2 linked regions of the Mytilus edulis genome follow. The protein of the gene in region 1 binds, or shares a complex with, the protein of each later gene. Links are inferred from orthologs where the notes say so. Each region holds a gene or a part of one and is shown on either strand. Other genes may lie near its edges.

Evidence for each region.
Region 2: cysteine desulfurase-like (region 1) and LYR motif-containing protein 4-like share a complex: the UniProt entries of both Drosophila melanogaster proteins name them as parts of the mitochondrial core iron-sulfur cluster (ISC) assembly complex. The link is inferred for Mytilus edulis from reciprocal best matches to the Drosophila melanogaster genes Nfs1 and bcn92.

The regions. Positions count from the first base shown.
Region 1 is NC_092348.1:85,717,171-85,724,812, forward strand, and holds the start of cysteine desulfurase-like, read right to left. Parts: upstream 3,042-7,642; 5' UTR 2,986-3,041; coding exon 2,865-2,985; intron 1-2,864. Other genes in the region: pyruvate dehydrogenase [acetyl-transferring]-phosphatase 1, mitochondrial-like, read left to right, coding at 7,089-7,642. UniProt on the Drosophila melanogaster protein: Catalyzes the removal of elemental sulfur from cysteine to produce alanine. It supplies the inorganic sulfur for iron-sulfur (Fe-S) clusters.
Region 2 is NC_092348.1:3,985,689-3,993,472, reverse strand, and holds the start of LYR motif-containing protein 4-like, read right to left. Parts: upstream 3,092-7,784; 5' UTR 3,036-3,091; coding exon 2,956-3,035; intron 80-2,955; coding exon 1-79. Other genes in the region: phenylalanine--tRNA ligase, mitochondrial-like, read left to right, coding at 6,221-6,790, 7,604-7,763. UniProt on the Drosophila melanogaster protein: Stabilizing factor of the core iron-sulfur cluster (ISC) assembly complex that regulates the stability and cysteine desulfurase activity of Nfs1 and participates in the [2Fe-2S] clusters assembly on the scaffolding protein IscU.

The DNA.
Region 1 (7,642 bases):
TTTTAGATTGATTCTTTTGGAAGGTATACACCTTATCGCTAAACCCGGCTGACCCAGCCGCTTGAACTTTAGACGCATACAACAATCACTTTTCCATTGTGGCGTCAGATATTTATGTTTTATGAGGCCAAAATAAAAAGATTGTATGTTTGCCCAAACGCGACCGACCCAAAATAAACCCGCCGACTCAAATTCTTTTTTTGACGTTTTTTTAGAAGATTTTTTTTTTGCGGATTCTTTTCATGTCCGCTCCGTCATTGTATAAAACTTAATGTTTGTTATCTTTGCGTTTGAAAGTAACTGTGAATGAGATTAAAAGAAAGCGCATAAGAGACGCAGTTAATTGATCTTCCATGTTCTCTGTTTTTATCTTCTGATTTAACGAACGTAAAGAAGTGAAAAATGTGAAGTGGCACAGTTTTTGTTTTACGCTGTAGTTGTCTGTACTACCAAACCCTTACCTATATGCTCAATGTTAATTTCATCGTGTAATCGAAGATCTGATAAGAATATTCAGGTAGATTTGTTCAAAACCATGTGCAATCGAATATTTTCAATGTTACTCTGACAGGAAATGGATCCGGAAGTTGCGAATTTACAATCTTGCAAGAAGATTTTGTATTTATTGAATAAAAAGGGATTACTTCTTGATAAATTGTTGTCTTTAATTATAATCTTCCTTTATCATGTGAATTAGATATAATACACATTCATTAAATGTTTATTTTAGATTGATTCTTTTGGAAGGTATACACCTTATCGCTAAACCTGGCTGACCCAGCCGCTTGAACTTTAGACGCATACAACAATCACTTTTCCATTGTGGCGTCAGATATTTATGTTTTATGAGGCCAAAATAAAAAGATTGTATGTTTGCCCAAACGCGACCGACCCAAAATAAACCCGCCGACTCAAATTCTTTTTTTGACGTTTTTTTAGAAGATTTTTTTTTTGCGGATTCTTTTCATGTCCGCTCCGTCATTGTATAAAACTTAATGTTTGTTATCTTTGCGTTTGAAAGTAACTGTGAATGAGATTAAAAGAAAGCGCATAAGAGACGCAGTTAATTGATCTTCCATGTTCTCTGTTTTTATCTTCTGATTTAACGAACGTAAAGAAGTGAAAAATGTGAAGTGGCACAGTTTTTGTTTTACGCTGTAGTTGTCTGTACTACCAAACCCTTACCTATATGCTCAATGTTAATTTCATCGTGTAATCGAAGATCTGATAAGAATATTCAGGTAGATTTGTTCAAAACCATGTGCAATCGAATATTTTCAATGTTACTCTGACAGGAAATGGATCCGGAAGTTGCGAATTTACAATCTTGCAAGAAGATTTTGTATTTATTGAATAAAAAGGGATTACTTCTTGATAAATTGTTGTCTTTAATTATAATCTTCCTTTATCATGTGAATTAGATGCCCTTTTATTCAAATAGTTCAAATTTACAAGCCTCAGTTGACAAAATCAATAAGTTGCTGTTTGGGAGAATTTGATTAAACTATAATTGCTCACAGAATAAGAAATATAATCTTAACTGAATGTAACTCTTTCTGAATAATTTAGTGCAATATAAATCCCCTTTGACAAGAAAAATCTGGCTTTTGTCAGAAATATTTTTTTCACATGTGCAAAAGTAAACACATGATATGGTTGGATTTTTATACAAATTTGTGAGGAAGCCTCTAGAACCATGACCTAAAAATAAATAGTCTTCAGAAATTGTTAACTTTATGCAATTATATTTTATCAATAATGATTATTTTCAAAAATTTAAACTTGATTATTTAAAGAAATAAAATTATAACAAATACGTTTTTAGTTTGGAGATTCTACAGAACATGTTTTGGTCTATTTATAGCCAAATTAGTTTACCTGTGTGATAATGTAAAAATATAAATTTGTTTTCAAAACATAAAAAGACAGAAACTATGGATGGTAGATAATAATTCATATAAAATATTTTAGGACATTTAATCTATTTTAAAAGATATAGGATTTAAAAACTGCAAACAAATTAAATTATTACATACATCAGCTGATATTTTTTTTTCACAAACATCTTGTTGATGTAACTGTTGAAAATCACTTCATAAATCCACCAACCCTTTCACACAGTCAGGGTTATAAACATCTCAGGATATAAAGTAGACTAATTTATTTATAGAGGTTTTAAATTCATGGCTTTTGGTTGACTCTACAAAGGTTTGACGGAAAAAAAAGATGTACTGTTTTAAGACCTTTTCATATTTTCATGCAAATTCTGAAAAAAAAAAAAAAGAATTTGCCAACCTACGTACCCAGACCCAGTCATCATGGGTCGGGTTTGGGCAAACTGAAATATTTTTAATTGTGGCCTGACGTCAAAATTTTACAGGAACCTATGTGATATCCAGTAATGGCGGACAAATAGCGATAAGGTGTATTAGGGAAAGGGTACAAAAATGTAATATAAAATAAAAAAAAACGTAAATACTTAATTAAAATAACTTTATTAAGAAAATTTTCACCACACATGTTATCATTTGCTATTCTTATTCTTACTAAGAATAGCAGCCGAATATGACGTCACATGGGCATGAACTGCATACAGGAAGTGAAAGTAGAATTAGGTCGAAAACGTAAGATCGTCGAAAACACAATACGTTGAAATACGAGACGATACAAATCAAAACAAATATTTATATTGGTGTGTAAATGTACATGTCATGTTCTTTAACAAGATCTATATTGCTATCAGTCTACTTATTCTGTCTAAATTGATGATTTTTAATATCTTAATTTTAAGAGTTCCATGAACATTATGAAACAACGTGTATGTATCTTTCAATGTCTTTTTGACACATGTAATGGCTGTATACCTGCAACTGCAACTTTCTGAGCATTGTCAGTCACATTCGCCTGTAAATATCTCTTAGTTGACTGAGTTGTGCTGTTCACAACTTGTAATACAAAGCGAAAATTTCTGAAAAGTCGTGCCATTTTATATTTATTTTCTTCTGTCGAAATTGCTTTACATAATTGTAGTACTATGCAGCCAATAATCAACAGTAGTATTGATTATAACCAGAATCACTCAAACAATATCCGATTACCAAATATACAAATACCAACACGAATATTCGAAAACGTACATAATTGCTTCATGTTCAAGATAGAATTTAAAGAAAATTCATACCTGTCAACTGTCACTATTTGTGGGGGATTTCCCCCATGGAGGCTCCCAAATTAAAATTTTGAAAGAGCAATTTTGTCCAAAATTTAAACAAAAAAATTAATTTTACAATAACTTTAGGCTTATAAAAGTATGAAGAAGCCAAAAAACTACCTTAAATGTATTTGCAGGCCCCGTTTATGGTTTTTTAGGACTATGACAGCCATCTTGCACGCAAAACCCCCATGGGCATTTTGAAAAGTTGGCTGGTATGAAAGATTGATAATTTATTATTGAGACTTCTGTAACACATGTGGTTTTTTTCTCAGATTAGAATTAGATAGAAATAGTACAAAAAGTTAAAACTATAGTAATAAAGCATCAGTCTCATGTTGATAAATGTTTTAAAAAAAAAAAATAGGATAAGAATGATAGGTCACAGCGCATTTGCTCAAGCTACAGGTTTTGACAAAATGACACATTTTATAATAAGAATAAGAATTTTATTAGTCTAAAATCCAAACAATAGGATTGTTACTAAAATACAAAACAAAAACAAAAACAAAGAAACAGACAGACAGGCATATTAATTACAAAACTAGGCATTAAACACTACAAACATGTAGCATTGAAAAAAAAAAGTTATTAATATTAACTATAATACTATTTTTGACAGCATGTCTCCTCTTTCAAATTATCAATTCAAATATTATGCTTATATATATATATAACATTATAAGTTGGGCCATCAATTACACAGTTCATATTGACATTATAATTGTTTCTCTCATTATACATTTCATTTATAGACGTCACGCGCGATGTTCGTACCTCATTGGAAAATCGGTGTAGTTGGCAAGATCCAAGTCCAAAATATATAGTTTTGTGATATCACATTCATTGCTATTGTACGAATTTTTGAAAAAATAATGTTTTTTAAAATAAAAACGAAAAAAATAATTGTTGAAACTATGTTTAATGCTGCATGCGACAAGCTTCATTTAAAAAAACCGGCTATTTTTAGGCTGTCCCGCGTAACATATTTCATTTATTGTAACCACTAAACTATGATTTTCGTCTAAACTATTTAATATTTTGAAAAACGTTTTTTTTCCCATTATTTAACATAAAGGTTCCTTCAGTTTGTTATGCATTCTTTATGACGTTATAATGACGCAATAGAAAAAAAGATCCATACTACAAGGGCAAACCTGTCCCACGGGGAAAAAAATTTGGATTCCAGATTTGAGAATTAAAAAACATTTATCTAAAATGGAAATGGGTTAGTGTAGTGTTTGTTTTTACTACATCAATGTTAATTTGCTTAATTTTATGAAGTTAAAGACAAATATCATGGCCAGAAAAATGATATATGGTAATTTATGAGCGATTTTTCAAAGGCTTACAAGGTTGTCGCACTGCCATTTTTTGACGTAAAAACGAACTCACCTCAAATTTACGTCAATTGTTTGCTTATCAGTGCTCTTTTAATGGTAGAATTTTATGATTTTTGAAAATGTTATTTTTCTTAATTTTTCAAAAACTAAAATACATCAATTTTCAATAAGTAGTTAAAAAGCACCGACGATTTTGCGGAGTCTTACAAGAATGTCGCACTTGCTTAAAAACAACGTTTTAGTCGAAGTTTTGGTTTGAACGTTACGAAATATTCGGGACGTTGTGTTACGCTTACATGTACGAACATAGCGCATAACGTCATAACATTATAAGTTGGGCCACCAATTACACAGATCATATATTGACATTATATTTTTTTCTCTCATTATACATTTCACTTATATAGTTAACAATGATAAGTAAAATATCACATTCTTCGCAGGAAAATATAAAATCAAATTTGTTTTCTTCACTCATTGAATTAAAACTGGGGACAATACTAGAAATTTCATTCAACATTTTGATCTAGTTTTATTAATTTCTGAACATAATGATAAAATGAAATACATCTTCCACCTCTTTATGACATAAAGGACATATTCTATTTTCTAAAGCTGTTTTGTTGTATCTACCGCGTTCAATAGCCAGTATACTATTCCTTATTCTTATTTTAGCATAATTTTTTGTAACATTTTTATCTATTTCAATAAAAGGTACTTTTCTAGTTCACACTTTACTTTAAATTTTCTGTAGGTTCTTAGTTTATTTCCATTTATTGAATTATCATCATTAAAGAGACAATTTTTCCAAAATGTAATGTAATTTTCATTGAGCTTCTCTCACGACGGCTAAAAGTAATCTTTTTTTTAGAAAAGGTACATTGATTTTCCCAAACATGAGTGAAATTCAATTTTGAAAGTAGCATTTTCAGTGGCGGATCCAGAACTTTTCATAAGGGGGGACCAGCTGACTGACCTAAGGGGTGGGGGGGGGGGGATCCAGTCATGCTTCAGTGATTTCCTATATTAGCAACCAAATTTTTCCCACGAAAAGGGGGGGCCCGGGCCTCCCAGCCCCCCACCCCTGGATCCGCCTATGATTTTTACTTTTGAAGCAAATCCATCATTTAACTGCTTGTTAGCTTTATAAACATTATATAATAAAGACTCATTTTCATTTGACTTTAAAATATGTAACCAAAATCCTACAGAAGACTTAAGGGCCTGTATACCAATAGGGTACATTCCCAATTCAGCTAATACAGCTGTATTTACTGCCTTTGAATTAACATTTAGAAGACCTTTTGAAAATTTGATCTGGAGTTTTACTGATTCCATAGATAAGTATTGAGATTTAAGAGTTTTATTGTTCTTCACAATATTTAGCGACCATATCTCACTGCAATACAGTAATATTGGGCTAACACAGGAATTAAACAGTTTCATATGGGGAAAAACATCCATCTTATCTGAGTAGAGTATTTTTTTAATACAAAACAATGCTTTTTTACAGAGGATATTTGCAGCATTAGTGAAAAATCCTGATGGCTTGAATAGTATACCTAAATATTTATATTCTGTGCAACATTCAATTACTTCATTATTCAATACAAACTTGTCTTTAGTAAGTTTTTTACCACTTTTATTAAATATCATTGTTTTTGTCTTGTCAAGATTGACAGTCAAGTTCCATTTTTCACAATAAGTGTTTAACTTGTTAAGACAATTTTGTAAACATTCTGAAGATTCTGATATTAATACTAAGTCATACTAGACAATTTTATGTCATGCAATGTTACAGGATCACATGTGTTATCAAACATTGAGGTTAAATCATTTATATAAAAAGAAAATAAGGTAGGGCTTAGAATGTTTTACTCCAACTGTGGAAGGGATTTATGAATTATGTATACAGGAAAAACATTATGCTCAGAAGCTAAACTAAATGATAGAATTGTAAAATTAAATACGATAAGATAGCTTTTAGAAAATGCTTTGAGAATACCATAACTCGGAAAAAACCCGTGTGTTTTCCACGACTAAAATACAAAATAGGAAAATTCCATGTAGATTCCTTAAGAAAATGCACTATTTCATCTTAGAATCTTATACATTTGTTCTTTTACATGAACATTCACATTAGTTATCTTCATTCCTGCATCAAATTTTGCTAACTTGATTGAAAATCAGGACCTGCTATGTTCTCTAATTTTTACAATCCAACCTTAACCGTTTTTCATAACTGAGACGAGCCAGTGCGGCTCAATTTGGGCGAGTTGGTTCCAGACAGGGCGATTTTTTACAAAGTGGGACGAGTTGTTGAAAAAGTAGGGCGAATATTACAGTGGGTCGTGCTGTTCTTCTTCCAGTGTTACCCTTTTTCGGTAATTAATGAGATTTATTAGAGTTCTGATCAGTGATTATACTGCATGCTCCTGTTAAAGGGAGACTAACCCCTTGAGTAAGGTTGACAAGCAAAGCAGTCGAAACCGAAAAGGACAAGATCGAGTGACTTATGTTTCGTGCAAAACAGAATGTTAAGAACTTGTCCTCTGAAGAGGATTGATATAGGTTTGAAGAAAAAAGTTTTTTCACAACCTTTTGAAGAAGTTCATACGAAAGGACAAATTGAAAGCGTTAGAAGATTTTTCTTAAAATTTAAACAGAGGCATGGGTATTTAAGTTCAGACGTCGCACTGTTGACTCGAAAACAAGTCTCATCGATATTGAAAATAAATGAAGTATCAGTGGATGCAGATGGTCCTATTAAAAACTTTGAAGTGAATAAATTACCAGCAAATAAACCAATTGAAGATCGTGACACAGTAGCAAAGTTGACTCATGGAGATAAAAACAAGTACATTTTCGGTGTTTATGATGGACATGGTGGTAGTGCATGTTCTCAAGCTCTCAGTGAACGATTATTTAACTATATTTCAGTCTCAATGTCAACGCAAGACATTTTGAAAGACATTGCATGTGACAACGAGGGACATGACAAACTTGTAGACTGGTACCCTTATCAGTCACAGTACTTCAATCATGAACTTGATCAAATATACAAGGATAACTTGGCTAAATTTGCCAA
Region 2 (7,784 bases), about 82 Mb from region 1:
TAAATCTTTTAACTTTTGTGGATCTGTAACTTCTTTATTCTGTCTAAATTCATCTCTTGTTTTTCTAATGGCATAATTTCTGAAACAGAAAAAACAAAACTTCAATTTTTGATGAAAAATTTTGAGACATAGTTTTCATAAACATGATAAATGCTTTATTTGAAATTCAACCAAATAATTATTGATCAGATTATCCTAGATTTGCACATTATTCTCTAAAAATATCAACCCTATATATCACCATTATCATGTGATTATACATATTCTAAGCCAACACAGCAGATAATCAATTCTATGTTTTATTCATACATGTCGGATGAACTTTTTTTTGTGCATAAATTTTAAATATGTCTGTGTCATTGGAGACAAATCTTAAAATAGACAGTTTAATAATCTCATGAACTCGCACATTTTTAATCCAAAACTGCTTTCCATTTTACATAAAAGAACTGACCAAGAAAAAAAACGTTTTCATGAACATTTGATTTCCAACATGGTTTCAAAGTTTGCATACAAGCCTATACAAAATTTTTACTTACTAGTTTCAAACATTTAAATTCGTTATCCTTAAAATCCTCAAAAAAATTGATATCCCATGCATAATGACTATGTATCCTCAGTTCTTTCTCAACAAAATATCAATTTGAATGTATTTACAAGGATAGTGATTAATATGCAGTGAAATAGTCGTTACATTTATAAGTTCATTTGTGCAGTGTCAGGCTGTGGTTTAAAAAAAAAAGGGGCATCTAACTTTTGTTGATCAGGAGTGACCCCTGAAAATAGCTGAAGTGAAATTTTGAACTATAATTCTTGATTCCTGTCCTTGTCTTCATATTTTAGCATCCCATCAGTCAATTCATGCAATAACTGCCTACATTAGCAATCCTAAGGCCTTCAAAAATATTCCTAGTCATTGAAGGATACATATATTAATTTCAGATCGTTTTTTATTGAGAACATCATCGATCTGTATAACTTATGTTTCTTTTAATTATATGTATCCTAATTTTTGTCAGTTTATTGTCTCAATACTGTAAGCTTAAACCATGCACCTTTAATGTAAATGGGTGTTTTGCTTATAATTATTGTCTATTGTCTATATTATAGTATACATCTTCCATTCATTGTGTTTACCTTAAATCAAATTACAATAAGACTATTTTGACCAATCACAGTGAAATTATAACTATTAAAGTTGATGCTTACATTATCTGAAAATGACTGTTTGGTGACTGACGACAAAGGGCATTCTAGTCCAAATAATTTTGACGTCTGGCAAGGCTATTTTACTTTTTTTCTGGGAAGCCTTCCAAAGACGTCATAATTATTTGGACTAAGACCTTACGGATCTCCTGTAGTTGGTGATCGCAATACTGGTATACCACAATACTGGTATAAAAATTTTGTACCAGTATTGTATTCCAGTATTGTACCAGTATTGTGCTTTTTTTAAATAAACAATATAGGTAATTAATCTTTATAAAGGTGTCACATATATGCATAATGAAATTAACATATGACATGACAATTTTATTAGGAATGATTGTGTTTAACTGATGATGCCATAGATGGTACACTGTGATTGGCATCAAATAAAGTTTTAAATCTTCTGATGTTTTTTTCTTAACCTTTCTGTCTCAGCATTTTAACAAACTCTGTACTTTCTTCTATGTTTTCTTTCAGCTCTCTCTCTTTCCAAGATTCATGTAGTATATTTTAGTGAATTTTATATTGACATTAATGCTGTTATAGCTTCTGTATCATCAGCATTGGTATTTCTTCTTCAGATGTGATTTCTGCAACCCCTCCCCCTTCCTATATTGGTATTCAGGTATTCAGTCTCTGTGGACTTTCTCTAACGCTTACTAGATTACAAGCTATTTCAGATAGCATTTGTATAGCTCTCTAACTGTCAGAATGCTGGTCTAGTATTTGTACCAGTAGATATACATGTATCTGCTACTAATTGTATTGTCCATGGTTCTGAATCAACTGCTTCAACCCTTAACATTTATGTAGACAAACTAGTTAATTTGATTATAACAAGGTTCCCCTATAAAGCAACTTTTTATAATTAATTAATTATGTTGATATCTTTTGTTGTGAAAGATTAATAAGAAAATAAAGACAAACAAATGCATATGATCTTAGTACACAAAAAATGTATACATGTATTAAAATATCTGTCAAAATATGTGATGGCATACATGTAAATGCTGAATTTACAGTGTTAGAGTCTAATAATTTGCTTGAATTTATTAAATTATTGCTCAGATAATAATAAGCTTTTATTTTATTTTATCTATATTAAATTAAATAAAATATAGAAATAAGATAAAATTATTAGCAATTGTTTAAATAATAATGATGATATGAGTTAATTTCAATAATCCTTTGTTTATTTGTGCAAGTATAGTAATGACTTTTAACTGGTTGCTAATTGATTTCACAATTATCCTCTATAATCTTTTTGAGTTCCATTTAATCTCCCTTTGATCTTCAATATAGTCTAGTCAACAATACAACTACAATACTGGTATATCAGTAATGTACCAGTATTGCTGGGTTTTTTTTTATAAAAAGTAACAATACTGGTACAAAATTTTTATACCAGTATTGTGGACAATACTGGTATACCAGTATTGTGATCACCAACTACTGGAGATCCGACCTTACTAAGGGCAATCCTACCCTCAATTATGGAAACACTGTAATGGTGTCGAATTGATTAGCCAAGAGGGGAAATGACATTAAATAAGTAACGATTTGAATAGGTGTCTTTTTGACTAAATGACGAATTGACTTCTTCTATCAGTGCCGAATTGACCATGTGCCGATTTGACCTGTCCATGAGAGATAAGCCGATGAATTTAGAAAAAAATGGAATCTAGAAAAAATGAGAGGAATATCGGACGAAAAAGGTGCAAACGATCAAATTATTTCACAACTAACCTATAGTTGTACGATGTAAACTTTTTACTTTCTTGAAGTATTTGCTTATATAAGGCAAGCGCTTTTGATCTTGAACCCATGTTTTTAATTTTCGGTCTTTGGTTATCTCCCTTTATATTTGACTAATTTTAGAGTCGACTCCCGAAAGGACTTGTATTTTTGGTAAACAACAACATGGAATCGAAAGTTGAATATTAGCTACTTTTAACTATTACAGTAACATCATAGTATTACATGTATGACATTGTTTCATGTTTGATTTTTTTTTCTCGAAGACTCATTGTTTGCGTTTCATCATGTTCATTGTGATAGAGACCTATTTTTCAGCCAACCATGTTTGTATCGAAAGAAAAATATACTATCTGTCAACTGACCTTGTGATTTTGGCAGCACATACCATTCAGCCTGAATTTCGGATGCAGTCATTTTTAAAAGGGAGTAACCCAAGATAAAAGAGGGGCTCCAACTTGCCCCCATTCACTAGTCCAAATAATTATGACGTCTTGAAAGGCTATTATAATTTTTTTCTTTGACGCCTTACATCGACGTCATAATGCTGAAGCCGCCATTTTCGGTTGGCGTCAAAGAAAAAAATTATAATAGCCTTTCAAGACGTCATAATTATTTGGACTACCCATTCACATGCATTGATTTAAAAATAAAAGGGGGGTCCAACTCATCCCAGCCCCCCCCCCCCCCCCCCCCCCCCCAACCACCACCACCACCACCACCTGGAGTCTGCCCCTCTGCAACCGGTAATGCCTCTGAATGATGCATACTCCTTTTAGATTATTTTTTGGCTATGGTCAAGTAGAACCGGTAATGCCTCTGAATGATGCATACTCCTTTTAGATTATTTTTTGGCTATGGTCAAGTAGAATGTATCATTCTTTGCAAATATTAGTTCAAATAATTATGAAGACTTGAAACAATGATAAGCTAATAGCAAGTCAACAGTTCTGTTTTTAGCTCTTCCCATCTCTAACTAGAAGTGCAAAAAGTTCAGATGACAGTTTCAGAAAATAAATTGAATATCAACCTCTAGTGTTGTTGTGATTCAAAAAAATCTTTTTATACACAATAATCTCGTCATAGCGTTATAAACAGACAAAAATCTCGTCATAGAGTTATAAACAGACAATCAGGTGTTTTAAATTGCCTCATTCTGACAAACACACAAACACTCAGCAGTGGAAATAGAAACAATGATTCAAATTCAATGACAACAATAATTCACCAGTAGACATGGGGTAGACAACCTGAAGATTCACCCTTCTATAACCTCCCTTATATTGGCAGTCAGCCATTAAAGACAAAGATTGTATTGGATCATAAATATTAAGTGCATCGTAGACATCTAAATATTCTCTGTGGAGTAAGAGAGATATCTCATAAATCTTGAAAGGCTCTTATACTTCATGTACTTTTTTGCTTTGAAGCCTTACAACAAGGCTGTAAGCATTGTAAGGTGTCAAGGCAAAAAAGTATAATTGCCTTTCAAGACGTCATAATTTTTGGACTATGCAAATACATGTATCTGATTTAGACGTTCACAGTGCCCTCTTGATGAAGTTTATTTCCTAGAAATATGCAGTGACTCACTAGATGTTGGCAATTTAAACTTTTGTATTAGCATGATTAGGAAACTTTAAAAGGAAACAAGCCGTCTAATTTTTATTTTGAGATCATTTAAATATATTGGAGTGTAGTGTGTGGTAAATTTTAACTTGAACTAGAATACAGTTTTTATCTAGGAATGCTAGGGGTCAGCTGAGGACCACCTCCAGGTGCAGGAATTTCTAGCTGCGTTGAAGACCCATTGGTGCATGGCCTTTGGCTGTTATCTACTCATTGGTCGGGTTGCTGTCTGTTTGACATGTTTCCTATTTCTATTCTCAATTTCATCTGTTTCACATTACATACTAACATGTATTTTGATTCACAAGGTCGACAAATTAAGCTATATATTCCCCCAAAAATGTCTTCACAATGTCAATGAATTTAAAATTTGCAGCAATACATTCAATATGCAGGCCTGACACTGATTTTTTGAATATTTTGTAGATTTCAATTATCCACATATAATTTAAGTTCATACAGGCCAAACATGCTTAAAACTGTAAATTCAGAAATTATTGAGAGGTTTTTATTATTGCAAAAAAATGCTATGTATATACAGGTACGTTATAATCACAATATTTTAAACTAGCATTTTATAAAAAAAATTTATATGAATTAAACAGGATTTTTCTCTGTATCCCGAAAGGTAAAAATCACATTTTAGTCTAAAATGACAAAATCCCAGTAATAAACATGATAAATGCACACAATAATTTTTGAATTTGCAGTAAGTAGTAGTTTTATAACATGTATAAGTCTTGTAAATAAATAGAGTCAAAATTCATACATTGGCTGCACTGGCCAAGCATGAAAACTGCTTAAATGCAGCTCATTTTTCGTTATCATGTACATGATGTATGTCAATTTTTTTTTATTATTTTATTTTCAACATTTAAAACATATACATGACATACATACATATATTATACAATGTCATTATTAAAGATACACCATAATTGGAAATATTTTTTCTATAGAATAGATCAAAAGAAAAAATTCTAAAAAGTATAAAAATTGATAAATAGTAATGATTAATAGACATGATAGATAGGATTACAGGAGTTCAAAATAAAGGAAAAAATAGAAAAGAAAAAGACAAGACAAAATTTAAAAAAAAATGGAATATCTAGCTACATCCTTATCTATATTTTTTTTTAATTTTTAAATGTTACATATTCATGTTGATAACTATTTGCTAAATTAACTAGACATATTTCTTTTGTAGTAGCCATCAACACAGGCCAAGGACATTTACATGACAATAATATTTTCCTTATTTTAAAATAGATTATAAGTAAATAGTCATTAGTACATTGTAGTAATAGTCAAATGTTCATACTTTCCATTTAAAAACAATTGTAGCTACAAATGGGGTCAAACTAGTTGCTGATTACATACATACATGTACATACATACATACATGTATACACTAGTCATTTATAGCTTGCTGCTCAGTCAGTGTAAGCCAAGGCTCTGTGTTTAAGACAATACTTTGACCTATTATAATAAGGAGATTTGTCTCAATTGGCACTCATTCCATATCTTCTTATATCTATGTAAACAAAAACTGTAAATTAGAAATTTCTTATTGATCTTATGAGAAAAGTTATTTTATTCTATATTTCAGGATTATTTTGGTACCAAGATGATTTGTCCAGTCTTACATGCCACATTGAAACATTCATTAAGAAGATTTCAGTTGATCAGGTGTTGTTATTGCACAAGTCCAAAGTTATCAGAGAAAAATGGTACAATTGAATTGTTAGGAAAGACTTATAAAACTGATCATGTAACAAATATTAGATCAAGCTTAATACCAAAAATTGGAATTGGTTTACATAATATGAAACACCATCCTTTAAATTTATTAAAACAACAAATAGTTGATTACTTTTACAAGAATTTTATAAATCGACAGAAAAATCCTGTGTTTTCTGTATATGACAGTATCAGCCCAGTTGTAACGTTGCATCAGAATTTTGATAGTTTATTAGTGCCAGAGGATCATGTCAGTAGGAAAGTGTCTGAGAGTTTTTACCTGAATTCCGAGTACATGTTACGTGCTCATACATCAGCACATCAAAGTGATTTAATAAGAACTGGACTGAATGCCTTCCTTGTATTTGGTGATGTGTATAGGAGAGATACTATTGATTCAAGTCATTATCCAATTTTCCACCAGGCAGAAGGAGTAAGACTTTATAGAGGCCAGGAGGTAAGCAGAAATAAATTTCTAAATATTCTAACCTTTTTATAATTGACACATTTTGAGTGAAATATTTGACTTTAGAGACAGTAAGGTTAAGCATGAGTCAAAGAGCGGTGGTGTAGTAGTTAGTGCATCAGACTACAAACACAAAGGTTCCAGGTTCAAATCCCTTTTTTGGGTGAAAATTTTAGGGACCGAATTTTAGGCTCTCCCTTGACACCATTTGTGAGTATGTTCTTGAGGAAACGATGATAGTCTGTGGGAAGGGGACAATAAATGGCGGACCCGTGTTGAAAGAGAGCCATATCTCTTGCATGTTAAAGACACCCTTGTAGACTTCAAAAAAGAGCTGGCTTATGCCACTACAAGGCAGCACTCCCACCTGTAAAGTGGAAAGGGATTAATATAAGTTGCAGAACTTGTTTCCCAATCCAGGATAAATAAATATGTTTAAACTAAGTCATGTATCAATAAAAATAATAATAATATAATAACATGTAAATGTCACATCTCGATTCATAGTTAGCTGCTTAAACAGGAAGGTTCATTTGCTTTGATTTAGAGGTAATACCAACTTATCATAGTACGTCACATCCCATAACAAAAGAAAAGGGTTGAAAAAAAATATTCCCTTGAACTTGACCTTGGAATCACATTATAAATTTACTTTTGTCTGTGTGTGACAAGTGTCAACTTTTGTTTTTAGCTTAAAAATGGTATTAGTGTCAAGCAGATGTTTTTTGCACTACATAGGGGGTCACTACATGATTGTATTAACTCTTCTCATACTATTTTTAATTGAACAATTTTAACTTGCAGCTTTTTTCCAAAATGAACATTACTGGTGATTACCAGATTTTTGAAAATGGTGAAAAAAATGAAACCAAACAGCCATTGCACACGAAAGAAGCTGTGATGATCCTGGAACATGAATTAAAATCTACTTTAGAAAATCTTGCTTTTAAGTTGTTTGGAAAAGGTTTGTGTATAGCAATATATG